Linked DNA regions of Callithrix jacchus. The protein of the gene in region 3 purifies or fractionates together with the protein of the main gene of each other region. This does not show direct contact. Links are inferred from orthologs where the notes say so. Each region holds a gene or a part of one and is shown on either strand. Other genes may lie near its edges.

The links.
Region 1: the proteins of FGF11 (region 3) and AHCYL1 purify together in Homo sapiens (affinity purification with mass spectrometry; 3 studies listed by BioGRID and IntAct, with this or other methods). This does not show direct contact. The link is inferred for Callithrix jacchus from reciprocal best matches to the Homo sapiens genes FGF11 and AHCYL1.
Region 2: the proteins of FGF11 (region 3) and UBE2O purify together in Homo sapiens (affinity purification with mass spectrometry; 3 studies listed by BioGRID and IntAct, with this or other methods). This does not show direct contact. The link is inferred for Callithrix jacchus from reciprocal best matches to the Homo sapiens genes FGF11 and UBE2O.

The regions. Positions count from the first base shown.
Region 1 is NC_133508.1:147,827,970-147,838,354, forward strand, and holds the start of AHCYL1 (S-adenosylhomocysteine hydrolase-like protein 1), read left to right. Parts: upstream 1-5,074; 5' UTR 5,075-5,363; coding exon 5,364-5,483; exon of another isoform or gene 5,484-5,867; intron 5,868-10,385. UniProt on the Homo sapiens protein: Multifaceted cellular regulator which coordinates several essential cellular functions including regulation of epithelial HCO3(-) and fluid secretion, mRNA processing and DNA replication.
Region 2 is NC_133506.1:132,285,753-132,295,382, forward strand, and holds part of UBE2O ((E3-independent) E2 ubiquitin-conjugating enzyme), read right to left. Parts: intron 9,463-9,630; coding exon 9,319-9,462; intron 8,874-9,318; coding exon 8,764-8,873; intron 8,620-8,763; coding exon 8,469-8,619; intron 8,284-8,468; coding exon 7,811-8,283; intron 7,368-7,810; coding exon 7,213-7,367; intron 6,962-7,212; coding exon 6,849-6,961; intron 6,762-6,848; coding exon 6,633-6,761; intron 6,272-6,632; coding exon 6,179-6,271; intron 5,188-6,178; coding exon 4,491-5,187; intron 4,219-4,490; coding exon 4,082-4,218; intron 1,387-4,081; coding exon 1,183-1,386; intron 1,087-1,182; coding exon 1,029-1,086; intron 891-1,028; coding exon 220-890; 3' UTR 1-219. UniProt on the Homo sapiens protein: E2/E3 hybrid ubiquitin-protein ligase that displays both E2 and E3 ligase activities and mediates monoubiquitination of target proteins. Negatively regulates TRAF6-mediated NF-kappa-B activation independently of its E2 activity.
Region 3 is NC_133506.1:73,908,935-73,919,346, forward strand, and holds the start of FGF11 (fibroblast growth factor 11), read left to right. Parts: upstream 1-7,020; 5' UTR 7,021-7,112; coding exon 7,113-7,311; intron 7,312-7,966; coding exon 7,967-8,077; intron 8,078-8,271; coding exon 8,272-8,375; intron 8,376-9,106; coding exon 9,107-9,305; intron 9,306-9,586; coding exon 9,587-9,657; 3' UTR 9,658-10,412. Other genes in the region: TMEM102 (transmembrane protein 102), read left to right, coding at 2,411-2,624, 2,727-4,039.

The DNA.
Region 1 (10,385 bases), on a different chromosome or scaffold from region 3:
GAAACACAATCCACGTGTCAGCAAGTACTCAAAACCAGCAGCGACAATCGTTTCCTGCAGCAGGCGGGGTTTCTGCTTATTCCTGTCACTCTGGGAATCGGAGCACAGAGGGAATTCCAAATTCTAATCAATAGCTCTTTTCCCTCCACATCTTAGTATCTTATATTTGCACAATATTTGCAACTTGTTCAAAGCTCTTGCATACATATGATCTTACTGGAGTAGGTCACCGCAAGCCCCAGATGGTGAGTTATCAACCTGTCTTTCATGAGGAAGCAGAGTTCAGAAAAGGTCCAGGATGCCAGTGGCCTAGTCAGTAGCAGAGGGAGGATTCGAGCCCACATCTCCGCCCAGTTCTCCCGCTTCCTCACACCACACCACGCAGCCTCACCGTGAGTCAGCTCTCACGAGTTCCAGACACAGGACCTCAGATCCTCTAGCGCCAAAAGGTGCCTCCTGATCCTGGGGCTTGTTTACAGCCAGTACAGCTGGCCCCACTACTTACATTTTTGCTCCCTTTTCTCTAGCAGGACCTGGTACTATGACCTATGTTTGCCTGTTTTGCCTGAAAGCCATCCCCACACCCACTCTGAAACCACCTCCCCCCATTCCATGATATTGCACTAATTGGAAGCAACTCAAATACCCCACAGTAGGAAACAGTTAAGCAAACTCGTAAAGCAATAAGACAGAATGCTTGGGAAACTCGGACGATAACAGGTATGTCAATGTTCTCTGCATGGGTCATGTGTTTTTGATGTGCTGTAATTTGATCAAAGCAGAACACAAAAGGACATGAAACTACCTATTACAGGTATGTAAAAATGAGTTTCTGCAAATTGAGAAGAACCAGGAGTGAACTTAACAAGATGAAAAGGTATTTTTTTAATCTTCACGGGTTTTTCTTTTCTGTAATGTTCGAAATGATATTAAAGAGTAAATGATCATAATAAATATGATAATAATAAGCAGCGTGGGAGACAGAGAAGGAGGAATGTTTCCTGCTGGAACTGGAGAAGGGGAAGGAGAAGAGGCTGCAAAGAGGGAGGGAGGGAGCTCGGTGGGCAGCAGGAGCCAGGAAGCCTGAAGACCCTCACCCACAGCCACAGACTTGCAACAGGGAGCCCAGCCTCCTCTGGGGGTCCCTCAGGGCCAGTCAGATAGGTGACCAGCCTGAAGTGGTCCTCCAGGGCATCTTTCACAACAATGACAATGTCATGGTGCCTCCTAGAGCTGTGCAAGGTAGCAATTCTGGGACAGAAAGAAGACTGGAGCTGGGGAGGGTTTGCTCACCACCCTCTTCACCTGTTCTGGACTTCCATCGTTACCCAAGATCTCTGCAGTTTTTCTGCACTTTCATTCCAGAGGGCTAATGAGCACCTTGGCTGACAGCAGATGAAAGGCCTTCAGGAGGAGCACAGCCTCCCCCTAGTGGGGAGGCTGACTGGCAGGGAGCCGGCAGTTCCAAAACGTGCCAACCTGGGGCTCCCCTGAGACTCAGGGACAGTGCCCTCCACAGACACATCAAACTCAGCATGTCCCAAGCTGACTCATTCTCTCTCGGCAGCGCCCCCTGCCACGCCTCCAGCCATATCTGCTTCTCCTCCTGTGTTCCCAAGCATGGCAGACATCGCCACCACCCACCTAGGGCTTACCAGGCCCTGAGGATCTGGCTGTGGCGTGAGAGCTCACTCCACCATGCTTTGCACCCTGTGCCCCACCCACACTGCAATATTTACAGTTGCCATAATATGCCAAGCTGTTTCCATCACCCTGTCTATTCCCAGACTGTTTCTTCAGCCTGGAGAATCTTCCCTCCCTTGCCCAGCTGCTTATCTGTTAAGACTCAGCTCCAGCAGCATCTCCCTCAGTGCAGCCCTCCACTGCACCCCACCCCCATCACCTGTCCCCACATACAGATCAGCACCTCAGCTTCTTTGTCTCTGTAGTCCCGACTGACACCTAGCCCTGCTCCTGGCATTTTCAGCACTCAATATATTTATTTTGTAAATAAAAGAACAAATGACTGAATGTGGAACATAAATTTGGGGGTGGACAAAGAATGAATCTGACTAACCAGACCAAGACCACGTGTGGTAGCCCAATGCCACTACATTTCTGGTAACAGTATTTCCTGATTCACCGCTGCCCTTAGACCACTCCTTTTTAGTGGGTCCTCTCTGGTCTCCAGGCCCTTGGAGACTTCCCACCACCGCACACAGCAGGTGCATCTGTCTTTGGTCCCTGCTGTTCTCCAACTGGCCTGTAGAGGGGTCTCTCACCCGTGTGTGGACTGCGCTGTTCAGGGCAGTGAGCTTGCCGGGAGAGTTGCTGAGTCAGGTTGGGTGGGTGGGCTGAAGACTAGTCATCTCTTGGTATTCATGAGAAGCAATCGCCTTAGCTGCACTGTGTGAAGCTATCTTAGGACTGGCTTTGGGGATGGGGGACAGAGAGCAATGATTCTCAGGAATATTACATTGTCACACTCCCTGGCTGGGTGAGCTCTTTGATCTCCAACACACACTTGGTGGGAGGGATGTCAGCCACCCATGTCCCTTGCAGTGGCTGGTTTCCAAGAATATCTGGGGCCACTGACCTCACTTGAACCACATCGGCCTAATGCTTAGGGTAGGAGCGCTGCCCTTCCCCTCTCCAGTCTAAGCTGCCTGGCTGTCCTACGTCAGCTCATCAACCTCCCCTCAGGCCAGCTGCTCAGGGGAGCTGCTCAGGAGACCTGCTGGTCTCCTTCTTGGCCTAGACTGCTAAGGTGCTGCATGCTCTGGGCCTGGCCCTGTCTGTCATCCTCAGCTGCAGCAGCAACAGCAGGCAACACTGTGAGCCTGGTGCTAGGGCAAACCTGGTCCAGGAGGAGTAAAGGAAAGACTGAACTTCAATCTCCAGGAAGCTTACAGTCTAGATGCTTAATGCACAGAGGAACTGGGGACTGAGAGACAAAATGTGTAGACAAAGCGAGTTCTAAAAAATCAAATCCAAAAGACAGACATACTGATGCTTCTCTTAAAAAAAAGATTATCTTAAGTCATATGTTTTTCCGTTCTAAGGACTCAAGATTTCATTCCTGTTTCCAACGGGCTCTGCCTCGGGTTTTTGAGCAGGCATCCCTGATCCCTGGGCTCTGACAACAGTTTGGGCAAACCCACCAGGATGAAAGCCCCTATGAGCCTTATGTCCAGAGAGTCCTTAGTGCACCAGGTGTGGCTTTTGACCCCCAGCTGAAAGATGCCAGTCTGGCACTATCATGGATGAGCCTGGTATTCTGGTCTCCGTCTCCCTTCCCCTTCTGCTACAGTGATGCCCCTGACAGGGAAGTCTGAGTGCTCAAAAAAGTAAGCAGACGAAAGAATTCTAACAGTTCAAGACCAGGATCTGCAAAGGGTGTATTCTTCCAGGTGCTTCTACAGACCTCTTCAAACAGTCTCATGAGGCTAGGTGGCTGGAACACGGGCTACCCTGACTAAGACTTTTAAGGCCCTAGAGGTGAGTATTTCACACTTTCCCCAGCCCTGAACACAAATCAGTGGGGAAAATGTCATTTCAAACCGCAACTTCCTTCTTGAAAGGGTGGACCCTGTTAAAAACCTGGGAGGTTTTTGGGTGTTAAAAGGTGGTCCTCGGGAGAAATTTAGGGAAAGGGCACTGGGAAGACCGGAGTTGCTCAGCACAGCAAAGGAGAATCTGGTTTCCCAGAGTCCATAAAGGAAGGAAGGGCAAGGTGCAGGGATGGGAAGGAAGGAACAGGAGGAAGCTAGATTAGATGGCAATGGGCTAGGGAGTGTGATGGGGTCTTGTGGCCATTGAGAAATCCCCAGTGGTGAGACAGGCAAAATAACTTTTCAGAACATTTCAGAAATGTGATCTTAAATCATTTGCTATGTGATGTAATCTCTCCCCTGCGACCCACAAACCTTTATTAAACGTTTTACTACATGTTACAACCTTATTTTTGTAGTTGCTTTAAAACGGGGTGGGGGTTGAAAGGAGAAGGGGCTGAATTGACCCCAGGAGCTACAGAAACAGTCACAAGACCAGAATAGTGAATAAAATGCCAGACGAGGCAAAAAACTAGAGCCAGAGGTGACCGTGAAAATGTAAGTCCTCCCAGTAATTCACAGAAATCCCGGGGAGGGCACTGGACTTTCCACAGGACATGGTAATTGGAGCCAATGCCATTTGAATCTCAGAGGACAAGCTACCTCAGCTGACATTAGGTTACAGGCAGGCTTTGCCTCTCCAGCTGAACTAAGCCTTGCAAAACATAAAATGTGTCACATGCCCTTTTGCCATCTGGGCCTTAGCACAGGGACTGCACATAGTGGGCCCAGTAAAAGGGTGTGAACGGTCCATGAATGTCCTGGATGCCCACGGAGAGCTGGAAGAGTCTAATGTTTTGGTGGAGCAAGGACCGGAAAGCCATTCTGGCTGGGGACTTCTCCATCAGCCCTCCTGGGCTCCACCCTCATATCCATCAGCCCTATCCCAATGACGGCTTAAAATCAGCTCTGCAGCCTGAGGGTTTTGTAAACAGGCAAGGCCCAGGAGGAGATGGTGTTGGAGAAAGTCACAAAGCGTTGTGCAGGAACCAGACTATTCTGAGTCAGTTTTGCCCCCTATAAAGTCCAAGAGGCAGGCCTCTTGGGAAGGAGTTTTAATCCAAAGGACCTGGGGCTGGATCAATGAGTGAGTGGAATGCCTCAAGCCCCAGACTTTTCCTAGGAATGGCTGTAGGATGTGTCGTGTGGGGCTCTGGTCTTTGCTCTCAAACACCCATTTTATGCCCCTCTGAGGCTTCGCCAGGAGCCCCGCAGCCCAAAGACCCCTCCGTTCTGCAACATCCTTGCATGAACGACGCGCTGCTCCCAGGGCTGATGGCGCCACCTGGTGGCACAAAGGGTCCCGCTCACCCTGAGAACTTCGCTCTCAAGCGGGCGAGAAGGAGCGGCTTCTGTGCTCCAGCCCAGCGTGGTGACGTCACGACAGAGTGCCGTGTCTCCCCGCCTCTTCCCTCTCCCGGGAGCTGCCAGTACTTGACGTGGCGTCACCGCCCTCTACCCTCGCTTTGCGTGCGTGTTTGCGTGCAGCGGAGGTGGCGGCGCGGGCAGGTCGGAGCTCGGAGCTGCTGCTTCTGGTTCTCTGGTGGCCGCGATCGCTGTCCGGCTGCCTTGGGCGGCCAAGCAGACGAGGCGCGGACCACAGCACCTCAGAAGCCGACGCAGCTCGACGCAGGGCCCGGCGGGAGGGTGGGCGATCGCGTGTTGGAGGGTGCCGCGCGGGCAGGCGGGCGGACGCCGGAGGGGGAAAGAGGCGGGGGCGGCGGGTCAGCCGCGGGCCGGGCCGGCCGGGGGATGTCGATGCCTGACGCGATGCCGCTGCCCGGGGTCGGGGAGGAGCTGAAGCAGGCCAAGGAGATCGAGGACGCCGAGAAGTACTCCTTCATGGCCACCGTCACCAAGGCGCCCAAGAAGGTGCGGGGGCTCTGGGTGGCGGCGGGGGCTCCGGCTCCGGCCTCGCGGAAGGGACGCGAGCAAACCCCAGGCTCTGGCTAGTTCGGGACCTCTGAGGCTGGGGTTGGGGTGACTGGAGGCGGCGGAGGTGATGTAGGGGGTGGCGGCCGTGCGGCCCCAGGCATATCCCGGGCTGAAAAGGCCGCCCCTGACCTCGCTTTCCTTTGTCCCTCGGCCCAAGTCCTCTGGGATCGTTTTGAAACCCGACAGGGCCAGGCCTTAAATTTGTGGCTGACTTTTCCTGGATGAAGGGCCTCGAAGTCAAGAGTGGGAGGGGGTGAACCAACTCAGCTGACCCTTGTGACCAGCCCAGGGACATGGGGTGCTCAGAAAATCTCACTTCAGGTGAGTGGGTAAATCGGGCAGAATTTCCGTCAAATCTTTGGGAGCAGTGGCCGGTTTATCCAACAACTGCGTGATAGCTGGGAGCCAAGAGAAAAGAATGCGTGAAGCTAGCTCTAATATACAGGTGAAAGCAACGAGGGTAAAAGGAAAGTGAAAATCTATGATTTTCACTTTCTACAGCCTCCCGTTACTTCGAAATATGTAAGAAATTGACATTTGGAGGTTGGTGACAGGAGACACTGTCATGGATACAGGTGGATCCTAGTCATGTGAATAGATCACTTAGGCATCCCTGGAGAAGGGAACTTGGGTGGGTTGGAGTGGTGGGTGGTAAGGAACGATTGCTCATTCTTGACTGTACTTTTGAGGCAGAACAAGTTTGATCTATTGTGCAGTGGGTTGAGCTCAAAGGACACCCTTCAAACTCTCTCATAAATGGCAACCTTTGGAGATTGTAGTCTAACTAGCTCTGAGTGGTGGAATTGGGATCCTTACTGCTTTCTGATCATTTACTGCCAACCATGTCTTGATTTTCCATACACCTGGCACCCAGTTAGCAGTAGAAGAGAACCTTTATAAAGAGGTGACCTTCCTGAAGCCAATGAGAACCCAGATAAATGTCTCCCTTCTGTATAAAGACGGAGTCTTAAAGCCGCCTCTGCCTGCAGCGTTTAATGGGATGCAGGGCTGAACAAAGCAAGGGTTGCAGGAATAGTTAAGTCCTTGAGGCTTCAACTAGTTAAGCCGTCTTAAGCAGGAGAGATGGCTTTTTTTTTTTTTTTAAGGGAATTAACCTGCAACTCCAGAAATCAAATGCAAGATTTAAAAAGACAAGTCGCCATTGTATGCTTTAGCTCTTTTTTCTCACAAAATTAAGAATTTATTAATTCCTTTAAAAGATTGTGGAAGATCCCTCGACTCTGAGAAATCTGACTAACTTTAGTGCTGTCAGTTCAGTTGGTAGAGTGAACTTTTGCAGTCTACACTATTCTTTGGAGAAACAGTCACGGTCCTTATAAGCAAAATGATTGAGGGTAGGACCTCAGAGGAGTTAGAGGAAAGAATGGGAAAGCCCCAGTTCCCGAATTTTCCAGACTCTGGCATCTTTGCTCTTATTTGCCTTTATGTTAGTAAATCTGTATTCTTGAAAGTACCACTGTTGATAAGACAAAGTCTATATTGTAGATTGTTAAACTCATTAAGGCGGAGATTCTTGTTCACCTTTGTATCCAGTGTGCCTAGCTCTGTACCCAGCATATAGTAGGTACTCAAATATTAATTGCCCACCTGGCTAACTAGTAACTGAGATGTCCATATGGCTATCTACCAGGAATAACTATCCCTTTTCCTCTCTTCTTCCCAGGAGGAATATTGCTAATGTGCGCTATTGTCAGGCCAAGTGCTAATGATTTTAGACTTATATTCCATTAGCTAAAAGAAGCAGGCCCTGCCAGGAATGTGGGAAGACCCTGTTTTAAGATTCCATTTGCCGGTAAATGTGTCCCACTGTGTTTCTTATTAATCTTTCTCTTCTGAGTTTTATTGTTTAGCATTTACGTAGGACTTTGTAATAAAGTTCTTTATGATGACTAATTACCCTTCCCCTAGTGATGATAAAAGGCATTTATTTAGTTAATGGATCAGTTGAAGACTAGTCAAGGTCATGTAGCAAGTCCTAGGCCATCTGTTTTTCAAAACTTCTGCTGAATTGAACATTATGACTTGTCACTTTTGTACTTCTGCCATGTGTTGATAACGTGAGAAAGCATGGGTAAAGTAAGAGGGGAAAAAAGTAACTTGATGTGGTATTAATGCTGTGACAACAAGACCTCTTCAAGCGGTGCAGTCCTTCACCTGTGGGAATTCTACCCTGGCTCTAGACCAGTAATCCTTGGATCGTTCTGAACCTCTGAGGCCCCTGAGGAATAGAGGATGTTCTTGATGCCAGAGGATATGGGTTACTTCAGGGTGACCTTGTTGGTCCTCAATTAGATCAGATCCCAGTGTCGCTTTCTGGCCAGGTTTTATTCCTGTTGTTTGTTTTGTTTGAGGTAGGAGTGGATGTCCATCAATTAAAAGCATAAGTATCTAGATCCTCCAGCAATACACATGACTTACTCAGTTGCGGGTGCCATGGCGTCTATCACACTGCTCCTGAACAAAATGGGGCTTGTTGGTTTGACTGAAGATTTGAGATGTGTGGGCGTCCAGAAGTCAACTAAAGGGTTGACTTTATAGTTGAGCAAATTAATTAGCTTTTGTACATTCATCTCCTCATCTGCCAAATAAGTGCCTACTTTTCTGGAACAGGCGGAGATAGAGGCATGCTGGGGAGTTAAGATAGCAAGCGTAATTTTTTAAAAGTCTGTTCGCATATTTATATTCTTCAGTGGACATTTGAAGTGGCTTATAACACAGGATACTTATTTTATATAAAAGGAAGTAAAAACCATAGAAAGAATGAAAAAAATTGTTAACCTCAGAGCTAAGTTAGTTGATGAGGTTGATCACCACATGCAACTTTAAACTCTTAGCAGCTAGAGGATAAGAGGAATCGCAGAGTTTCCTTAACAGGCATGGGAAAGAATGCATGTCAGTTCCTCAAGAGGACAACTTTTCCTGACACAGAGTTCTAAAAGAAATTTTCACAGGATTATATTAATAGCTATAGTATGATTCACATTGTAAGGCTAATTCACGATTGTCACTGGTGATTTCAGATGGTCTAGCTAGGAAAGATGGTATAGCTCGAGGTAAGAGAAGGAATCCTTGAGTTGTAGACTAATTGTACATTGTACCACAACTGAAGAAGATCCCTGTTTAATGTTGGCCGTTATCAGTCAAACCAAGTAAGTCATCTAGTTCCCCATAACCACTGGTTATTCTCTTTTTCTGCTCTTTTGTGTAACAGGAGTGATAACTGTCCTTGGACCTTTGGAAGTTGACATTGTGTCAAGTTGATTCTTTTTTCACAGTGTAAACCCAAATCTCCAACTTGTTGAGACCTCTTACAGTAAGCATGTTTCTCTGCAAGGCCTATCAGAACATTTGCTGTTCTCTGGACTTCTGAACATTAAGGGCACTCTCCAGAGTGATCCATTAAACATTTGACCTAGGATCTGTGTAGTCAGACCTTTACCGCCAGCAAAATTGGGGAAAGAGAACAGCACAAAAGAAACTGCTTTCGTTTACAGGATATTCTTTATTCGAATGAACCTCTGTAGTACTGATTCATCAAAAGGGTCAGCTGAGACTTAGGAAGCACAGCAAGTAGAGCCCCAGTGGGTACAGCTTGGGTGTTAACCCGATAGGTAGAATCCAGGATTCTCCTTTTCTCATCAGTTATCTTATGGTTAATTTTTGGTACAGTTTTATGAATTTATACCAGGACTTGTCAGAATCACTGAAAGGAGATTTGATAAGTTGGCATTTCCTGTCTTCTTCACATCATTAGTATCTCTTGATTCTGTTAGAGTGGCTGCTGCTTTCATAGCAGTCTTTGAAACAGAAGTCAGGGTGTAAGCAGATCCTCTTTTTAAGATTTCTCCACAGATATTGATTACCTCTCTTTTTCTTACATGGTTTAGTTAGTTACATTCTGGTTTCCAAATTACTTTGTTCCAAATTCCTTTAAACATTTAGCTTGTAACAGAAAGAAATCTGTTAGATTTCTAGATCAGTGGTTGTCTAGATCTTTTGCTGGCAAGGTTACAAATGTATACTTTTTCTTTTATCAAGAGTGTGCCATTTGGATCCAGAGTGTTTTACCCAATATAAGATTCTTTTTTTAAAATGTATTTTTATTCTTTATAGAGATGGGGAAATCCCTGTGTTGCCCAGGCTGGTCTCGAACTCCTGGGCTCAAGCAATCTTCCTACCTCCCGCCCACCCTGGATATAGTATTCCTGGAAAGTTGTCTATAAAGGATATTTTGTAACATAGAATCATGCAGGTCTTCAGTTGCCTGTGACTCTTAGCAAGTTTACTCTGCCACTCCAAGTAGTTAACGATCTGTAAATAAGTACTTTAATGCCCTCTTGGGGTTGTTTTAAAGGAATTGGCGAGTAAAGGAGAATCATTTATACCTACCTGTTTCTCAAGTTTGGGAATGTGAGTACTGCATTTTTGTAAGGAATGTCCATCCTGACTATACTGGACATATAATTCATAGTAATTCAGAACACATGCTAATGAGGTACATCAGGAGCATTCCTGTCATGTGTGAAGGACAACATATAAGCACACCCAGAGTTTTTTCCAGCCTGTAATCTGAGAATCCCAAGTTGAAGACAAATTCTTACCACAAATTTTCCTTTGGTTATTGTCAATACTATCGGTGCCTGTTGTGTAGTCAGCAGTTAAAAATTCACCCAGAATTGCAGTTGCCTGTCCTCTTCTGATTCCATGTTTTTTTTCACTTAAGTAGTTCTTTTCCCACTGTTGCTTGGCTGTTACATAAGACCCCTTTAACTTCCCGTTTCTGTTCCTAAAACTGAGTAGTAGTGCAATATAAGTTAA
Region 2 (9,630 bases), about 58 Mb from region 3:
TGCCACGGGGGACCCGCCTGTTGAAATCTCGCTTCAGAATAAACGGCGGCATCTCAGCACACTTCTTGTACTTCAGCATCAAACTCACCTTGGGGAGAAGAGGGCAGTGAGGGCCTGCAGTGGGGACAGAGGGGCATGGGAAGAAGGTGATTCCGGGGGGAGTGAGCAGACGGCGGCTGGCCTCTCCCACGGTGATGCTCCTTCCTCTGTGCCTGGTACCTACTTGTCCTCTGTGCATTCCGGCATGCCTGCCTCTAGCAGGGCAGCCCGGAACTGCGTCAGGACACCCCGGATGCTCTTGATGAAACCCTTGGAAAGTGGGAAGAGGGGGAAGCCGATGTCAGGGTAGCCACTCTTCTCAGGTAAGAAGCTCCGGTAGCTCTTTCTCCGCTTCTTTGGTTTGACACTGGGCGGCACTGATGCGTCTGCTGCGGTCTCCGAAGTCTGGTCTGTGTGGTCCCTGCTAGCTGAGGCTGGGCCCTGGGCACCGCCCTCCGAGTCTGAGCCCTGGGAGGCCTCTCCTGGGGCTGGCCCTCCATCCTCAGGTTCTTGTTGGCCGGAGTCTGAGAGCTCGGCTATAGCTGGGGGCTCTGGAGAGCAGCTGGCCTTGGGGACCCCGTTAGGCAAAGCCTGGGCCCTCTCCAGCAGGGCATGGGTTTCTAGCCAGGACTCGATGCGGTTCACCAGCCGCCAGCCACCAGTGCTAAAGTGTTGCCTGATTTCCTGCTCAAAGACCTCAGGGGGCCGCCGCACCAGCTGGGTCATGGACTGCACCACACGGATCAGCGCCATCTCATTGTAGCAGCGACTGTTCTCATAGCCTTCCTGCAGGCCCCGGTCACTGTCGAAGCCGGCTTCATTGTAGTATGGTTCGTTCACCAGGATCAGACCTGTGGGAGAGCGACATCTTCCCACAGTGGGTGGGAGAAGCCCATGGAGCAGGCCTACCCTCCACCCTCCAGGGACCCATCAGTCACTTCCCTCCACTGGCCCTCCCTGTCCGCACCCCTGCTTCAGCCCAACCGTACCTTGGATGGAGATGAGCACCTGGAGAAGGCTGGACTTGCTCGTCCACCTCTCTGTCCCCTGAAACACACAGGACACCATCAATTCTGTTCCCCCAGCCCCTATCCCCCACTGGCTCTTCCTCTTTCTTGGCTGGGGGCCTGGCACTACACTCACCTTTCCAATCCAGGTGCCCAGGAGGCTGACGCACACCTTCCCATTGTCATACAGGTTGGGGTTCAGGCGGCCACTGCACTGGGAGAGGTAGCAGAAGTGGGGGGGCACAGCTGGGTAGATGTTGGGGAGCTGAATGTCAAACAAGTAGAGGCCATCCTCGTAGGGGGTTCGAGTGGGGCCCTTGATGAGGGCTGAGAAGAGGTCCTATGTAGGGAGGGAGGGAGGCTGAGGTTGGCAGGTTGGAAGGGGGGGTGTCCTGCATGTGGTATCTGCATCTGCACTTTCCCAGGACACTGTGTGAATGAAGCGGGAAGGGCAGCTGGGACTCCAGATGCCACCAGCAGTGGAAAAGCTAGGCACAAATACCTCTGTGCCAAATTGCCTCGAATCTTTCTTTTTTCTTTTTTTTTTTGGAGACAGGGTCTTGTTCTGTCGCCCAGGCTGGAGTGCACTAGTGCAATAATGGCTCACTGCAGCCTCCCAAGTAGCTGGCACTACAGTGTGTGCCACCATGCCTGGCTGATTTATTTTTTGTAGAGACAGGGTCTCACTATGTTGCCTAGGTTGGTCTAAAACTCCTGGGCTCAAGTGAGCCCAGGCTCAATCCGCCTGGCTCAGTCTCCCAAAGTGCTGGGTTTATAGGCATGAGCCACTGTGCCCAGCCCTTACCTGGAATCTTTGAAGCCTGGCTAAGAGAAATATTCTAAATGAATTTTTATCATATCAGGTGGTTTTCCTCATAAATCATTACTTTAAAATTGTATTCCTCAGTCAGATGTGGTAGCTTATACCTATAATCCCAGCACTTTTGTGAGGCCAAAGTGGGAGGACTGCTTGAGGCCAGGAGTTCAAGACCAGCCTGGGCAATATAGTGAGACCCTATCTCTACAAAAAATACAAAATTAGTTTGGCATGGTGGTGCACACTTGTAATCCTAGCTACTCAAAGTGGAAGGATCACTTGAGTCCAGGAAGTTGAGGCTGCAGTGAGCTATGATCACACCACTGCACTCCAGCCTGGGCGACAGAATGAAACCTTGTCTTTTAAAGACAAAACAAAAAAAGACTCCTCTAAACACTTGCCCCAACCCTTATCTCCCACAAGGCAAGTAGTACAAACAGTTCCAAGCTGAAAGGCAGTTCCAGGATGGTGGGGCCTGGGGAATTAGGGATGATCTCTCCACCAGAAGCTGGCAGTGAGGGTTTGATCCAGGGGAGATGTTGGGAGACCACCGTTCCACAGACATCTGGAATCTGCGCATCTATTTGTGTGCATGTGCGTACACGTGTGTGTGTGTGATCTCAACTGCCAGGGCAATGGGCGAGGTCGGTGATGAGCTGAGAAGCAACAAGGGCAGAGCGCCAGCTGGGGTGAGGGAACCTCTCATGCATGCTCTTATTGGTGCCACCCTGGGAGCCTCCAGAGAACACACTACTTTTCTTCTCCTGAGTGAGATTTTGGGAAAACAGAACAAACCAAAAAAATACTGTTCCTGTTTTCCCTCAGCAGAGCTGAGAAAAGCTAGAATTTTCAAAAGGAATTTTACTATAACCCAAGCAAAAAACAAAAGTGTTATTAAGAATCTCAAGCAGCACTGGACTTAGGACTCTGCCTAGCCCTGTTCCAGGAGGGGCTGCTCCGGGCCCATCTCAACAGCGCCCCTCTTGGCAGCTCTCAGGATCCCTACTCCTTTTCTTTGCCCTCTTCCTTCCAGGACAGGGCCAGAACTGGGGCCTCAGACTCAGATTCAGAGTCTAGCATGATGCCTGGCTTGAAGCACAGGCCCAGTAGGGATTGCTGAGTAAACAAGGTGGCAGGCAAATAGGCTTGCCTGTTCCCAGAGGAGGCACTCATGCTGCCTCAGTAAAGATGACTCAGAGACACTAGGCCCCGTCCACAAACAGAAGAGTGGGAAAATGGAATGTGGTGTGGCCACATGTTGTTGTCCTATTTTGTAGGTAAAAAGGAAGAAACTAGATCATTACAAATCAATATGGGTAGGTCTTGAGCAAATTAGAGATGATATATATACAATGACATACTCTGGGCTGGGCGCAGTGGCTCACACCTGTAATCCCAGAACTTTGGGAGGCCGAGGCAGGCAGATCACAAGGTCAAGAGACTGAGATAATCCTGGCCAACATGGTGAAACCCCGTCTCTACCAAAAATACAAAAATTAGCTGAGCATGGTGGCACGGGCCTGTAGTCCCAGCCACTTGGGAGGCTGAGGCAGGAGAATCACTTGAACCCGGGAGGCAAAGGCTGTAGTGAGTTGAGATCAGGCCACTGCACTCCAGCGTGGCGACAGAGTGAGACTCCATCTCCAACAACAACAACAACAAAAGGCAAATACTCGGTGTAAACAAATCATACAAAACACTCTGTACTCATGGTGATACATGAACATGTCGAAATACTTTTTCAATGTATAAAAAATGTAAAAATACATAAAAAAGGTAATCCGTGGTCATCCATTTGGAAGGAGACCCACTAAACTTCCAGCAGTCCTCTGGGTGTGGGAAGAGGCCTATGATTCAGGAAAAAAGGGAAGTCAGAGCCGGTCAAAGGCAACTTTAGCTCTTCTATTTCCACTCAAAGGATCTGTAATGTTCTAATTTTTCCAAAAAGAAGAGCAGGCTTGAGGAGTACTCATAATATAATTAATTTCAAACTCATTTTTTAAAGAAGGGAGAAAAGAAAACCATCTGGCCTGGACACATGGCTCTCCGCCAGCCCTCACCTGGCTGTGCCTGTGACCGCCCCTGTAAAAGGTGGGTGGGTGGGTGTCCTCACAGGTGCCAGTCAGCCCTGGAGCTTTGAGGACCCAAGGCTGGTGGCCTCTTGGGCACTGGGCACCCACACAGCACATCTGCACCTGCCCATGCCAAGCCTACTTGCCATTCTATCTTCAAAAGTCTTGACCATGATGCCCTCAGGCAGTGAGGTAGCTAGCAGTGCCATCTCCTTCCGAACTGTGCTGAAGAACTTCTTAGCTTCTGGAGGCTGGAACTCAATTTTCTTAAAAGAATGATTTGCTAGAAGAGGAAAGAGAGCAGTCAGTCACTCATGGAGAGGCCCTGGAGCTCTCCATCTGCAAACCTGGCTGGATAGGTGAGCGCACCCACAGACTTCCCACTCGCCTTCGCTGGCCTCAGCACTGTAACCATACAGGGAAACTGTTTGCCCTGGGCCAGAAGTTGGGGGCCAGTGAGGACTAACCACCTAACCACCGCACCCAGATCTGGTGACACAAACAGGAGCCCCGAGAAGGCAGGGGAAGGTGAAGACTGGGCAAAGGCTGACTCACAGGGTGCAAACTCCAGCACGGAGAAGACCTCGCCCTTGGCGCTGGTGAAGGTGACGCCAGGCTTGCCACCACACTGCTGACAGAGCACCGGGGTCTCACTGGGCCACTCGGCCTTCACAGGTGACTGCCCCTCGGGCTTGTCCTCCTTGCGCTCTACGTCGGGCACTGCCTCCATTTTCTCCTCCTCTGCAATGGCCACATTGTCCAGGGTTTTCTTGAGGTTTTCCTGTAGCTTCTTTATGTCATCCAGAAACTTCTTCTCCCGAGTTGGCTTCTCAGGCTCCACAGTGGGAGAGGTGGGCGAGCCCGTCAGCAGCTGCTCCACGGTCATGTTCTTGAGGCTCTCCAGGATCTTGATGGCCTCTTTCAACTCCCGGAAGCTCTTGGGAGGCCCGTCCTTGCCAGCCTTCTCCATCAGCCCAGCCATGGGGGTAGCCATGGCCACAGCCCCCTGGACAGCGGCTGTGGCTGCCTCTTCACTGATCACTACTCCCTTGTCCTCCTCAGGGGCCACAGGCTGCTCCGTGGGTGGGATGGGGGGCTCCTCTATCTTGGGGTGCTCATCCTCTACCAGCCCATTGTCCGTCTCCCAGCTGTCACTGTCATCTTCCCACTCATCCGAGGATGCCCCACTGGTGCTGCCTTCTACCGAATCATAGTCTGACTCCTCAATCTCAGATTCGATGTTGTACAAGTGCTGGGGGCAGAAGGGAAGTGCCAGGGTAATGCAGACAGGAAGTTACCTCCCTACCACAAAGGAAGAGCTCTGGGGATCCCTGATCTGCACAGCTGATGGGGACTGGGCTCATGAGGCCTTGGCAACCTCATTCCACTCTTTCCCCACCCTGTGCTCTGGACTTTGCAGTCCCTAGGTCTCTGGGAGAGGCCCTCCACCTGTCCCACCCCCAAGCTGGACCCAAAGCCCCAGCCAGTGGTCTGTTTCAGCCTCCCCTCCCACTCTGTACACTTGGTCAGCATCTGCCCAAGAAGGCAGGCAACCTTGGCAGGCCCAGCCCCACACCTGAAAAGCTCAGGGTCAGCTAACGATGCAGGCAGGGAGGCCCATGTGGGGCTGCACTGGGAGCTGGGAACATACGTTAGGAGAGTATGTGCGGAAGGGCCAGCACATCCTGCTGCCTTCCCTGGAATGACCATTAAGGTGATGGGGCAAGCCATTCCTGCCCCTGCTCTGCCCCATCCCCACCCCCTATGCAGGAGCCAGGAGAGGAGAGTTGGGCCATGCAGCTCCAGCCAGGGAGGCGAGGGAAGGAGAGCCCGTGTGGCCCTTCAGCTCAGGACCCAGCAGCTGGGGCTAGAATGGGGCCAGCTCTCTCCTTTCTCTCCTTTGCTGTTAGAGCTTTCTAGAAAGGGTGATAGGAAAGTCTCCATCTCCTTTTAGGAAGGAACTTACATTCTTCTTAGCATAGTGATAATCCAGGAAAATCCTGGAGGTTTGTGAAAATCTACATGCACCCAGTGATGGATGGGAGAAGTGAGGCTGGTGGGCCACCTGTGGGCTGACCCCAACCCCGCAACCAGGGCTGTGTGGAATGACTGCCTTTCTCCTCAGGTTTTCACTGAGATCTCACCAGGAAGACCCGAGAGCCCACCTTTAGGCTACCTGACTGTGGCCCCAGCCCCAGCTGCCATAGTCACAAGCCCAGCAGGGGGACTTGCCAGAGCCTCACCTGGGGCAGGATGATGGTCTTTGAGTTGTCAGCCCACACCACCTCCACCTTGCTGCTGACATCCACACGGGCCACCTGGCCTACTGATGGCTGCTGGGCAAAGGGGACAGAGTCAGGGAGCCCAGCTCCAGCCCCAGCTCCCCAGCCCTCCTGTGCTCTGCAGTGACTGACATCATGCCCACCCAGCTTGTGACAAGGAACTTAGCTCCTCTGGTAAACGTAACCAGCAGCGGCTCAAGAAGCCTGACACCGGCAGAGAGTCAGGGAAACAAGTCCTTCTGCAGCTGCTAGGGCTGAGCAGCAGCTTGACTTTGGGGCAGCTGCTCTCCTAGTAACAACTAGCCAGAGGACTTTCAGGTCTTGTCTCCTAGAGCCACCTGGTGGCAGCATCAGGGACTGCAGCTGCTGCATAGGGCAGGGAGCAGCGATCTAGAACTTGAATTTGAAGGTCTACCTCATCCTCCTTGTGAGGAGCCCCGTCCTCAGTATTGCCGATGCGGATAACGATGTCAGTTGTACGGAACCTAAAGTCAGGGTGGTCAGCAATGTCGTAAACACTCACATCTTCCTCTTCTCCAATTAGCTGTGGCATAGGACAGGCCATCATGAGCTAGGGGCCTACACCCAACCCCAGAGCCCAGCTGAAGAAAGCAGTAGGGGCTGCACACACCTCCACGTCGTCCCCACTTGGCCGCAGCTTGAACCACTTCACCATGCAGGTACGACCGATGTGGTCGCCAGACTGTACCACACCATAGACAGCAGGGTCTGGACAGCTCTGGACTAGGGAACCAGAGGAAGGGACGCAACTAGCTAAGGGACCCAGGCTAAGGAGCCCACATCTCAAGCCAGTGCAGGGTGCAGAACCCTGACCTTCCCCCGTCTTGGAAATGGAGAGCCCAATTCATGAGGGCAGTCCCCTTCCCGACCTCATTTTAGCTCTGACCCCAGATCCCTTTCTGTTCTCCCCAAGCCCCAACCTGGGCCCTCGTCGGTGACCACCCCGCTGGCTGCCCTTCCAGAGCTGGCACTACCTCGCTTATCTACCACGAAGTCTCCGGGGCAGAACTCGTTGTTGTCCAGGTGGTGCACAGGGAAGAGGTCATTGGAGCGGATGTTGCATTCCACAGAGCCATCCTGCCACATCACGTCAGCTGAGGTCATCGTGGTCACCACCTCCACTGCCACCCTGCCAGGTGCAGGCCAGTCAGCGACATGCAAAAACACCCCCCTCCCTCACCGCCACCCCAGGGAAAGGGCAGAGAATCGTTCTGTCCCTTCCCATCCCTGCAGGCTCGGTAACATGAAACTCTGAGTCCCAGGCCTGCAGGATGATTCTCTGGTGCACAGGAAGCTAATCCAGGCTTCCAAGGCCATGCATTCTGAGAAAGGGACCCACTTGGGAGAGCTCAGGCAAATGTGGCCCCAGAAGGCCAAGCTTAAGGCCACCACCACCATTCCACCCTCTGTACCATTCCTAAGTCTCTGCTTTCCACCAGGGCCTACCCCAGGCACTAGAGCCACTACAAGGTGTGCAGTGTGTGTGCAAGCATAGGCATGCAGCTGAGGGGGCATGCACTCTGCCTGACTTCATGCTGATGCCATGGGGGAGGGGCACAACTCTCAGTTTACCTGTCCCCTGGCTTGAAGTCTCGGGTGATTTTATTCTTCTTCCTCTTGTGTTTGCGCTTCAAATTTTTGATGGACAAAGGGATGCTCTTTTTGCGACTCGTGCCGCTGCCACTCTGGGAGGAAGTGGTGGAGCTGGCGGAGGAGGTCACTGAGCTGGTGTCATCCGTGTCATCGGCAGCCTCGTCATCTGCATCCTGCTCTGCCGAGTGCAGCCTGTCGTCTCTGCCTTCTTTTAGCAGGAACGGGGGCAGCTGATCTCCTGCCTCCTGGGGCTCCTCTACGCCCTCATCCTGCATCTCCACTGGGCTGGCAGAGCCATCAGGTGTCTCCTCAGGGCTGGCAGAGTCCGCTTCACCCTTGGCTTTGGCTTCCCCCTTCTTGTCTGGGTCTTCCATGGAATGGTCCCTGGAACACTGGGTGTCCGGGGAGCATGACATGATCCGCACAACCTGCTTCTTCAATAGACGCTTCACCTGCAAGGGCGAAGCAGAGATGACAGAGCTGTGAGGATGATAGCTGCATACACCTGAGTAGCCGGCAAGGGTCATCAGGGCTGCTGCCCACCAAGGCCTAAAGCACAGACTGTCCTTTTTGGCCATGGAAATGGCTCAAGGCCAGTTCCTCAAATGCCCACCAACCCCCAACCCCAAGGACATACCTTCTTGGCCATAGAGCCCTCCCCCTGGGCGCAGTTTTTTTCTGGACATTCCCAGGCAATCTTGGCTGGCTCTACCTTGGCTGGGAAGACATACAGACAGCGCTCCCCAAGCTGCCGCTGAGCATGGTCAAAGCATCCGAGACGCTTCACCCTGGTTGAGGGAGAAGTGGGGGTGAGCCAGGCTGAACTCTTGGGAGGCCAGCAGTGTTCTCCAGCCTCCCCAGGTATCTGTGGCCAGGGCCCAGAGCCCTGTCCCATGGGTGCCCCTGGGTTGCTGGCAGCAGGGCATGCTCACCTGCCTAGGTTTTCCTGGGTGATGACAGAGGGTGGGGGGCTGACGCTATCCGTGCCCCCTGGACAGAAACTCTTGGTAATCCATGTAACTTTCAGCTCTACAACCTGCACCTGGGGATGGCAGGTGGGACACGCCAGTCAGGGCAGGCTCTGACAGCACTCTTTAGCCAGCTGCCCAGGGCCCACTTGACCTCCAGAGGAGGAAACTGATCTTCCTAGTGCAGCACCAAGTACAGACAAATCAGAGTAGGCCCTGACTGTAACCACGGCCCCAATGCAACACCCAGGACCAGTATCACTGCTCATACCAGCCAGGGACCACTGGTAGCCACCCACCACCCTCCCACCTTGCTCAGGCTGGGCTGGGGACATCTGTCTTTTGGTCACTATGACCAGAGCTTGGGTTCCCCTTTTCCTTAAAGCCCTTTGAGATCAACAGGGTCCAGAAGCTGAAGAGCAGGGCTCAATCCTCAGAGCAGGCAGGAAAGGGGCAGCAGCTCAGCTCCAGGGCGTGGAGGTCAAGGACTCTGTCTCCTGCCCCTAGGCCCAGACCCACCTCTTCCACCACCACTCGGAACTTGCTCTTGGTACTGAGCACGGGCTTGACACCTGACAGCCATTGGACGCTGGAGAAGATCTTGGCGGGGCCAATGAGCACCTGGCCTGGGTAGAAGCCGTAGGAATCATCAAAGAAGAGACCCTGTGGGATTTGGGGCCAGAGGAAAGTCCCTGTGAGCAGTGCCTCCTTGGGTGACCGCGCTCTCCACACCTGTGCCTGCTGGCTGCCCACCTGCAGAAGCTCACTCACAGGCATTACATGCCTTAAAACAAGTCGTGTGGCTCAAGAACAGCACTTCCCAAACTCTGG
Region 3 (10,412 bases):
CTCTAATTTTCCTAGGTGTCCCTCCTTAAGTCTCTTATCCATGGACTTAGGCCTATGCCATCCTGGAGACAGACCAAGGGCAGAAGGAAGGTAAGAAGTCCTGGCCCAGGCTAGGTGTGGTGGCGCATGCCTGTAATCCCAGCACTTTGGGAGGCCAAGGCAGGCAGATCATCTGAGGTCGGAGTTCAAGACCAGCCTGACCAACATGGTGAAACCCAGTCTCTACTAAAAATACAAAAATTAGCTGGGTGTGGTAGTGGGCAGCTGTAATCCAAGCTACTTGGGAAGCTGAGGCAAGAGAATCGCTTGAATCCGGAGATGGAGATTGCAGTGAGCTGAGATCTCGCCATTGCACTCCAGCCTAGGCAACAAGAGCAAAATTCAGTCTCAAAAAAAAAAAAAAATTCTGGCCCAGTGATGCATTAGTCTGATCTGTGGGCCTGCCCTTGGTTTCCTGTCTTTCTATCCAGTTGTCCTGGCTCCTGGTCCCATGGTGGTTTACAGGTGTGTTCTGCTCCCTGATAGCATGAGTTACTTAAAGCAATTTCCTGCTCTTGATAATTTTCCATTGCCTTGTCCCAGCCTGGATGGGAGTTTCTTCTGGACTTGATTTTCAGCCCTGATAACTCTTCTGTGTACACTCTGAGATCCCAAAGTGTTTTCCCTGCCATGACTCAGGTAGCAGTGACCTGAGGTGGGCATCACTAACATGTATGTCTCTTCTATGAGTCCAACGTCCATTTCTGAGTCACCATTTGTGTGCTCCTGCCTAACACTACCACCTTTGGGATTCCAAGATGCTGCCCCCCTACCCGGCCAGGGAACCCTTTTTCAGCACCTCCCTGGCTCAGCTCTGACCTTGGACACGTCATATACAACTTTTCTAGGCAGTACTCTGCTCATCCCCAAAATGAGGAAGTTATAATTGCATGGAAGAATTCTCATAGGTATAAGTGAGCAGGGTTCCCGTATCACACAGAGATGCAGGGGCCCCTATCTCTCTCCAGGTCCTAGGGTGTGTCCCTCTTTACTTCTTTTTTTGAAACGGAGTCTCGCTCTGTCACCCAGGCTGGAATGCAGTGACATGATCTCAGCTTACTGCAACCTTTGCTTCCTGGGTTCAAGCGATTCTTCTGTCTCAACCTCCCAAGTAGCTGGGACTACAGGTGCACACCACCACGTGAAGCTAATTTTTTTATTATTGGTAGAGACAGGGTTTCACTATATTGGCCAGGCTGATCTCCAACTCCTGACCTAGTGATCCGCCCACCTCGGCCTCACAAAGTGCTGGGATTACAGGAGTGAGCCACTGCGCCCAGCACATTTTTTCTTTTTTTTTTTTTAGACCGAGTTTCATTCTTTTCGCCCAGGCTGAATTGCAATGGCATGATCTCAGGTCACCACAACCTCCGCCTCCTGGGTTCAAGTGATCCTCCTGCCTCAGCCTCCTGAGGAGCTGGGATTATAAGCGCCGCCATTTCGCCCGTCTAATATTTGTATTTTTGTAGATACAGGGCTTCGCCGCGTTGGCCAGGCTGGTCTTGAACTCCTGACCTCAGGTGATCGACCGGCCTCGATCTCCCAAAGTGCTGGGATTACAGGCGTGAGCCATCGCGCCCGGCCCGTCCCTCATTAATGTTTGTGGCTCAGATCCATCCTATTACCCGTCTCAAACCTCAAGGAATGTTTGAGTGGAGTTGACATGGGCATGAAAAGAGATACGAATAGTCAATCTCCAGGGGAACTACAACTTCCATCAGGCACTACTTCGGCGGAACGGGAAACGATGTGGGGGCGTGGCTCCTCCGCCCAAGTAGCGCGGGAAACTACAACTCCCAGGATAACGCGAGACCGCAGCAGAACGAAAGGAGTGGCTGAACCCGGCTGGCGACCCGACCTGGCCGAAACCACCCCGACAGCCTCCAGAAAGGGGCGTGGCCGAAAAATGTAGGGGCGTGGCCACGTGGGCATGAGGAAGAAGTAACCTGTTGAATCTATTTCTCCTCCCCACCCTTACTGCTTTTTCCCATAAGGGAGAAGCTGCAGACAAATAAGCCTCTTCAAAAAAAGAGGTAAAGGGAGGTAGACAAGAGGCAGTGGCGGAGGCTGGCTACTGCATTCCGTAGGAGGCGCCAACAGTTACTTTTTACCTGCTGAGTCCGGTGAACCAGTTCATGGGGGCGGGGACCTGCATATGAGGAAAGGGCCAGGATAGAGCAGGTATTTATTTGTTCATTTTGAGAATTAAATTTAGAACCCATCATCCACAGACCCATTTGTAGACTGTGTCTGGGGCCCTCGCTCGGCCTCAAAAGGAGGAAAGAACGGAGGCGACTTTTTGCACCAAAGGAAAGGCCCGTCTCGGCTACCTGCCTTCCGTGTTTGCCCTGGCCTAAAGCGATAGAACCAAATGGCTTCCGTGGTCTGGGGAAGTGCCCCCTGGTGGGGCCCGCCGCCCCCGGCCCCAGCTCGGCCGCTCACAGACATCGACTTCTGCTCCGGGGCGCAGCTGCAGGAATTGACCCAGCTGATCCAGGAGCTGGGTGTGCAGGAGAGCTGGAGTGACGGGCCCAAGCCGGGAGCCGACCTCCTCCGGGCCAAGGACTTTGTCTTCTCTTTTCTTGGTAAGTCACCCTACTTGCCTTTGGGAGCTCACAGCTCCCAACCTCACAACCACCCAGCCCTGGCTTTGGTCGACGCCTTCATGTTCCCTTCACTTTTTTCAGGTCTAGTTCACCGTCGGGACCCTCGCCTTCCTCCCCAGGCAGAGCTCTTGCTGCTTCGTGGTGGGATTCGCGAGGGCTCCCTGGATCTGGGGCATGCACCCCTGGGTCCCTACGCCCGGGGACCTCACTACGATGCCGGCTTCACACTCCTAGTGCCCCTGTTTTCGCTGGACGGCACTGAACTGCAACTGGACCTGGAATCTGGTTACACACAGGTCCGCCTCCCAGAACTGGTATGCGGAACCCCAATCCGGGAGATGTGGCAGGATTGCTTAGGACCCCCAGTCCCAGGAGGATGTGATTTTATCCACCCAACCGAGAGCAAAGAAAGTCCCAAGGACTCGCAAAGCTCTGTAGACCAGCGGCACAGCCACGTCACTGAGCACGTGGCGCCAGTGTCTTTGGAAAAATCACCTAGTGACGTTTCAGCGTCCGAGTCTCCACAGCATGACGTCATCGACTTTGGCTCCACAGCACCTTTGAAAACACCGAGTAGTGACGTCACCAAGGCAGCCGTCGAAAGCCCAGTCCCAAAGCCGTCGGACGCTCGGGATGCATGGCCCACATTATGCCCCGCCCAGGTGGCTGCCTGGTTCTTTGCTACGCTGGCGGCAGTCGCCGAGTCTCTGATTCCGGTCCCCGGTGCTCCACGTCTGGTGCATGCAGCTCGCCACGCGGGTTTCACCACCATCCTCCTGGCTACCCCTGAGCCCCCTCGCCACCTCCTGCTCTTCGACCTGATCCCAGTGGTGTCCGTGGCCGGCTGGCCCGAGGGTGCTCGGAGCCACTCTTGGGCTGGCCCACTGGCCTCCGAGTCGGCTTCCTTCTACCTGGTGCCGGGTGGCGGCACCGAGCGGCCATGCGCCTCCGCCTGGCAGCTCTGTTTCGCCCGCCAGGAGCTGGCGCTCAAAGCGCGCATACCAGCGCCGCTGCTGCAGGCGCACGCGGCGGCCCAGGCGCTACTGCGCCCGCTGGTGGCCGGGACGCGGGCGGCGGCGCCCTACCTCCTGCGGACGCTGCTGTACTGGGCGTGCGAGCGGCTGCCTGCGCTCTACCTGGCGCGGCCGGAAAACGCAGGCGCCTGCTGCCTCGGGCTGCTGGACGAGCTTGGCCGAGTGCTCGAGGCTGGAACGTTGCCTCACTATTTTCTGAGCGGCCGAGAGCTCCGTACGGGTGACGGCTCCGCTGCGCTGCTCCGGGCGTTGGCCCGGCTCCGCGGGGACCCTGCCAGGGCCCTCCGCGCAGCGGTGGAGGAGGCCAAGGTGGCCCGCAAGGGGGGCGGTTTGGCGGGCGTGGGGGGCGGGGCCCATTAAAGACGCTGCTCCTACTAGTGGAAGTGACTCCGTGGGCGAGCGGGACCTGGGGGGCACTGTTGCCTTCTTGCCTGGGGGGCTGACTGAGTGCCCTGGGCCTGAAGTGTCCCTTCTAGAAGGCCTCCTCAACGGTTCCTCCTCTACGCCCCCAGCTCGGCCCCCGGCACGGGTCGCCACGATCCAGCCTCGCTACTCTCCACTTCTGCGGCCAGCACTCTGTCCAGGGGCAGCTTCCAGAAACTCTCTCTCCCCAGTTCTTTTGGTCATTTCTCTTACGGACCAATAGAAATGGGAGAAACATATTTGCTGACCAAATGGGGAAAGGAGTTATGGGGACCAGGAGATCAATTTGGCTCATACAAAGGCAGAGATACTAAGGAGGCAGGATTTCGCCCGAGGCTGGATCTCACCACTACCCCTCCTCCATCTCTCCAGTTCTTCCCCGACTTTCCTCGTGCGGTTCTGTCCTCACTGACATCCTGGCCAGTAGGGTCCCTCTCCATTCTCCCAGCGTCCGCCATTCCATCTCCCTTAAGCCCAACCTCTCTTTCCCATCCAGGGTTGTGTTCTGGAAGTCCTCTTGTCCCTCCTCCTCTGAAGCCTGAGGTGTGCGGCCTTGCCTCGGCTTTGCCTGCTTGTAAGACACAGTCCCCACTCTCTGCCTCCAAGGAACCCTGGGGTTCCTCCAGCCCGGCTTCACCCTCCTATTTCCCAGCGTCTCCGCCCCCTGCCCCGCCCCCGGGCCGGCTCTCCGAGGAGGGGGAACTGCTGTCGCCGCCGCCGCCTCAGCTTCTCACAGCCGCTGCCGCCGCTCTGCCTGGTCCAGCCACCGGCCCAGTGCCCTGACTTCGCCGGATCGGGGAGCTCTGCAGAGACACCCTCACTCCTTGAGGGTCCGGGACGCCTAGCCGGGCGTGGGGGGAAGCTCTGTTTGCGGGGGACAGGGAGGGAGGAGCCTGGAGCCGAAGCCAGCGCCACCCGCCGCCGGATCAACAGGACAGGACAGGTTGAGGGGCGTCGGGGAAAGGAAGAGGGGGTGCTATAGGCAATCCCGGGGAGGACGAGGAAGCCCTGTCGCAGGAAGCTCTGATCCGCTCTGACTTGTAGGGGGCCTGTTCACATTTGGGAACTGGTGACAACGTGGGTGCACTCCTCTCTTGGGAGGGCTGGTTAGATTGGAGGGTGTGGGATCTAAACTGCACCAGCTGTCCCCAATAAAATTTAAGGGGCAGCCAGGGCATAGAAAAACATAACACGGATGTGCCTCATTTTGAGGTGGCAGAAGACACCTCAAACTACCTGGTGTATCCACTAGGAAGGGTGGATTTGGAGGTGACTTCAAAAGGAGTGGAGGGTTTGAAGGTGAAGAAAGGGTCTTCGCCGCTAGAATTCCAGGCTACTAGACATGGGGGGACTTGGTGAAAAAGGTATTATCCAGCCAGAGGGTCTGGGAGCCCCGTCTTACTGAACCTGGGCAACCTGGATATTCTGAGATATTTTGGGGGGATTTCAGTGAAAAAAGTGGGGGATCCCCTCCGCTTAGAGTGTAGCAAGGGAAAAAACACCAAGGTTGGTTTCCTTCCTGACACTGGCAGTGCCCCAGTAGGGGTGAGGTGATCAGTACCCCCAAAGCTAAAGTCCCACACCCTGTAGATTACAAGAGTGGATTTGGTAGGAGTGTGCCCCCAAAATACAGTGGAAAGGTGTCTGGAGATATTTAAACCACGTCTTGGAAATTTGGGGGGGCTTGGTTGGCTTTGGGACAGGTGAAGTGGGGACAAACACTGGAGAGGAGGGAAAGGGGACGTTTTCAATACAAGGCAAAACTCGAGGGTGGGATCAACTGAGGACTGCTTAGGCTGCTGGATCTGGTGGAGCTAGCACCGGGCCCACGGGTGGAAGCTGGCTGCTGTGGAGGGGGGAACCTGGGGGTAGTCTGGGGCTTCTCCTCAGGCCCTGTGGGTGGGGCAGCAAGTAGGGGCCTGAGCGTCAAGAGCATGCCCTAGTGAGCGGGCTCCTCTGGGGGAGTCCAGCGCGCTCCGGGTGCCCGCCAGTTTGGGGGTGTCTCCTCCCGGGGCGCCATGGCGGCGCTGGCCAGTAGCTTGATCCGGCAGAAGCGGGAGGTCCGCGAGCCCGGGGGCAACCGGCCGGTGTCGGCGCAGCGGCGCGTGTGTCCCCGCGGCACCAAATCCCTTTGCCAGAAGCAGCTCCTCATCCTGCTGTCCAAGGTGCGACTGTGCGGGGGGCGGCCCGCGCGGCCGGACGGCGGCCCGGGTGAGTGCGGCTGGGGCGGGGTCTCCCGGTCAGATGTTTCACTGCCTGGGATGTTGAGGCCAGGGACTTTGAAGAATAGGGCCCGGCTGAGGGGCTCCCCGAAAGTGGAAGGGGGTGGGCCAGGACAACAAAGTCCCTGCCAGATTGTGCCTCAGTTTCCCCTTTTGTCCATAACCCGGAGTCACCTTATTTTCGAGGTCAAGGAGAAGGCTTGAGGGGCTAAGTCTGGCGAAAGCCTCGCAGTTCCTGCTCGTCCCCCCTCCCCAACACAGCAGTCCCCACCCCCACCGTCCTCCGCCTACGTGCCGGTTCTCGCGATTCTTTCAATCTGGAGCAGAGGGGCCTGGGGGGTTCCAGACGCCTGGGTCACCCCAAGGGTTTCTGCAGTTTCAGCTCCCCCCCCCCCCGCCACCCCCGCCCACCCCGGTTCTCCCGCTCCTCCACGCCTGGGCTCGGTTCTTCCTGGTCGAGCTCTCTTGGCTACGAGCCAATCTCCCCAGCTCTCCCTCGGGTGTCCTTGCAGCTACCTCGCCAGCCAGCCCTCTATGCGTCCGCCTCCCGTGACCTGCGCTTCAAGAACGGAGCTGGGCACCCCCTCCCATCACCCCCGCGCCACTCCGAAATCGGGTCCCGTAGGCTCAGGGGACCCTACGCTGGGTGGAACTCAGACACAGTTCACCGCTAGAGGTGGGCGCCGAGTCCTGGGGGTCGTACCACCTACAAGGGGGGGGACAGGGAAGTCGGCAGAGAGCAATTGATGGGGTAGGAGAGTTGTGAGAGTTTCAGTGTGGTCCCGTCCATGTACGACAGTCAGGGAGTCCCTCTGGCCCTGCTCCCGCCTGCTCCCAACTCCCCTAAGGGCAGCTCCCTCACGCCCTCCTCCCCTCGCCACCGGCTGCCCATAGTGGTACAGTCCGCAGCCCACCCTCTGAGTGGGACCGGGCCCCCACGTGATTCAGCCTGTCTCTCCGTCTCAGCCCCCACCCCCCATATCCTTGGTAAGGTCCCCCTACCCCAGGCGGGTTGCCTGGCCAAAAGCGAGAGGCTGAGCCTCAGGGAGAACTGGGCGCCCGCGAGCTAGCAGACTGACAGACAGACAGACAGACAGAGACAGATGGGTCAGTGTCAGACAGTCCGGCTCTGGGCCAAGGCAAGGCTCTCGCCAAGCTAGCGGCAGCCGCAGCAGATGCTGAGTCAGCGTCAGGCCCAGTCCCACCCCCACTCCTGAGGGAGAGCCCCTACCCTGTGGTCAACTTGCTGCTGCCACTGTCCCCCACCTTCGAAAACACACTGCCCCTTCAGTGCCCCTGTGGTTTCCCTCTGTCCCCTACCTATTGATATCTCTCTCCCCTTCCTCCTCCTCCTCTCCTCCCCGCTTCTGGTTGAGCTGTAGGGTAGGAATTAAGCCATTTAAATACATTTCGATAAATTAAACTGAAAGCTCCTGGTTATATGAAACAGAAGGGACCCACACCAGCTTTCCCAGGAGTTAAAGAGAGGTGAGAGAGAGCGTGCTTGGAGGGTAAGAGGGCTGGGGCCCTGGGACCCTCTTCCTTCCTTTCATTCTCCTTTCTTCCCTCTGATCCTGCCAAGTATAGGTATGTTGCTGGGAACAGAGATGTCATTTTCAAAGATGAATGTCTCTCTCTCCAGAGCCTCAGCTCAAAGGCATCGTCACCAAACTGTTCTGCCGCCAGGGTTTCTACCTCCAGGCAAATCCCGACGGGAGCATCCAGGGCACCCCAGAGGATACCAGCTCCTTCAGTGAGAGGGGAAGCCGGCCGCTGGGTGGGAAGGGGGAGAATGGGGACAGCAGATGACACTCCTGTTCCCCTTTCAGCTTCTGTTGCCACTGGTCTGTCTTCCCGACCCCTAAGGGAAAAAGTGGAACTGTGATGAGGGGAGCTCAGGTGAGGGTCAGAGCCTGGGTATTGATGCTCCCTCTCTCTAACCCCCAGCCCACTTCAACCTGATCCCTGTGGGGCTCCGTGTGGTCACCATCCAGAGTGCCAAGCTGGGTCACTACATGGCCATGAACGCTGAGGGACTGCTCTACAGTTCGGTGAGACAATGAGGCTGAGTGGCTGGGGAATACTGGGGACTCCCCTTCCTCAACTTGTCCCTTGAGGGAAGGACATTTTGCAGTCTGGGACTCCTGCCTCCAGCTTTTACTGATGGCCTATCATCACTGCTCATTCCAGAGCAGCTTCTCTAGGGTCTCTCCAATCCCCACGCCTTGCACCCCCCCAACACAGCCCCAGGTTCTTTGAATGTCCAACTCTTTCTGCCTTGTAGGGCCCCTACTTCTCATCCCACCTCCTCCAGACTTTGTTATGACTCACTTCCCTAGAGTCATCCAGGACAGGGGTTAGTGAGAGGCTGGGGGTACAGTGGAGAGAAGGAATCTTATTCCAAGACCCCTAAAAGTCTAGTTTTCTTTCTTTTTTTTTTTTTTAATAGTGACAGGGTCTTGCTATGTTGGCCAGGCTGGTCTCAAACTCCTGACCTCAGGTGATCCACCCACCTCAGCCTCCCAAAGTGCTGGGATTACAGGCTTGAGCCATGGTTCCCAGCTCAGAGCCTAGTTCTTAACCCTCAAGGGCCCACCAGGCCTCTTTCTTGTCCTTCCTTTGCTCCCAGGTCCTGCGTGGACTCAGAAGTTGTCCTCCTGCTCCCGCAAAAAACATATGGATTACATCCTGGCTTGTGCATTCCACGGGCTCCCTTCTGCCCAGTGATGTGTCTTTTTGTCTCTTTGTCTTTATTTGCCTTTCTGGGTCTTTGTCTCCTTAGCCACATTTCACAGCTGAGTGTCGCTTTAAGGAGTGCGTCTTTGAGAATTACTACATCTTGTACGCCTCTGCTCTCTACCGCCAGCGTCGTTCTGGCCGGGCCTGGTACCTCGGCCTGGACAAGGAGGGCCGGGTCATGAAGGGAAACCGAGTTAAGAAGACCAAGGCAGCTGCCCACTTTCTGCCCAAGCTCCTGGAGGGTGGGTATAGATTTAAGAAAATGTAGGCCACAAGAGAGGGTGTTGACCTTGACATGGACATTTAGGGGCAGACAGCTCAGGCTACAAGTGATAAGAGGACCCTGTTATGGCAGATCAAGCCAGGAAGGCTTTGCCCTTTGGGGGTTTGGGGCACTCTCCTGTGGGTTGGGGTTCTGGGAGGGTGAGTGTATGGGAAGGGAACCCTTTCAGAGCACTGGTTCTGCCTGGGTCCCTCTGTGCCTAACTCTCCTTCACTGCTCCTCTCTTTCTCCCCTTCACAGTGGCCATGTACCGGGAGCCTTCTCTCCACAGTGTCCCTGAGACCTCCCCTTCCAGTCCCCCTGCCCCCTGAAATGTAGTCCCTGGACTGGAGGTTCCCTGCACTCCCAGTGAGCCAGCCACCACCATAGCCTGTCTCCCAGTCCTGCTCTCACCCCTGCTGCCACACACATGCCCTGAGCAGCCAGGTCTCACCAGCTGCTCCATCCTGAGGGAGCCTAGGGGCAAGTTGTGACTTCCGGGGCTGCTGAGACCCTTAGATTGTTGGGCCTAGGAGGGAGTCAGAGAGAGGGATGTCTGAAGATGGTCCTGGCTGATCACTTCTTTCTTTCCACACTCATACAACCCCCAGGTCTTTTCCTGAGATGGTGCTGGGAGTTCCCAAATGGACAGCCAGGGCATAACGCTCCCCACCCCGGCTCAGCCAGTTCCTGGAGTCCTGTGCCCCTTTTCATTGCCACTGAGCCATTTATAGATTCACTGGAGTTCAGGATTCATGTGTCCTTCTTTCCCTCCTCTACCTTATACCTTGGTCTGGACATGTTCTGGAACACTGGACACCCTAGCCAGGGCCACTGCTGTACTAGGGCCTGTGCTGAAAGCCAAGCATGCTGCCAGGCTTTGCTCTGGATCAATCAGGAGTCTGCCCTTGGTTTGGATGGACCCCTGGTTTCCAAGTAGAAAGTGGCTAGATTTGAGCTTTGTCTAGCTGTTGGCTTTGGCCTGAACTGGAACCAGTCTCAGATGACCACAGGTTTAACCTTCTTATCCCAGAGACACCCAATTCTAGAGCATTATGGAGCCATACTTCCTCCTGGATCCCAGCTC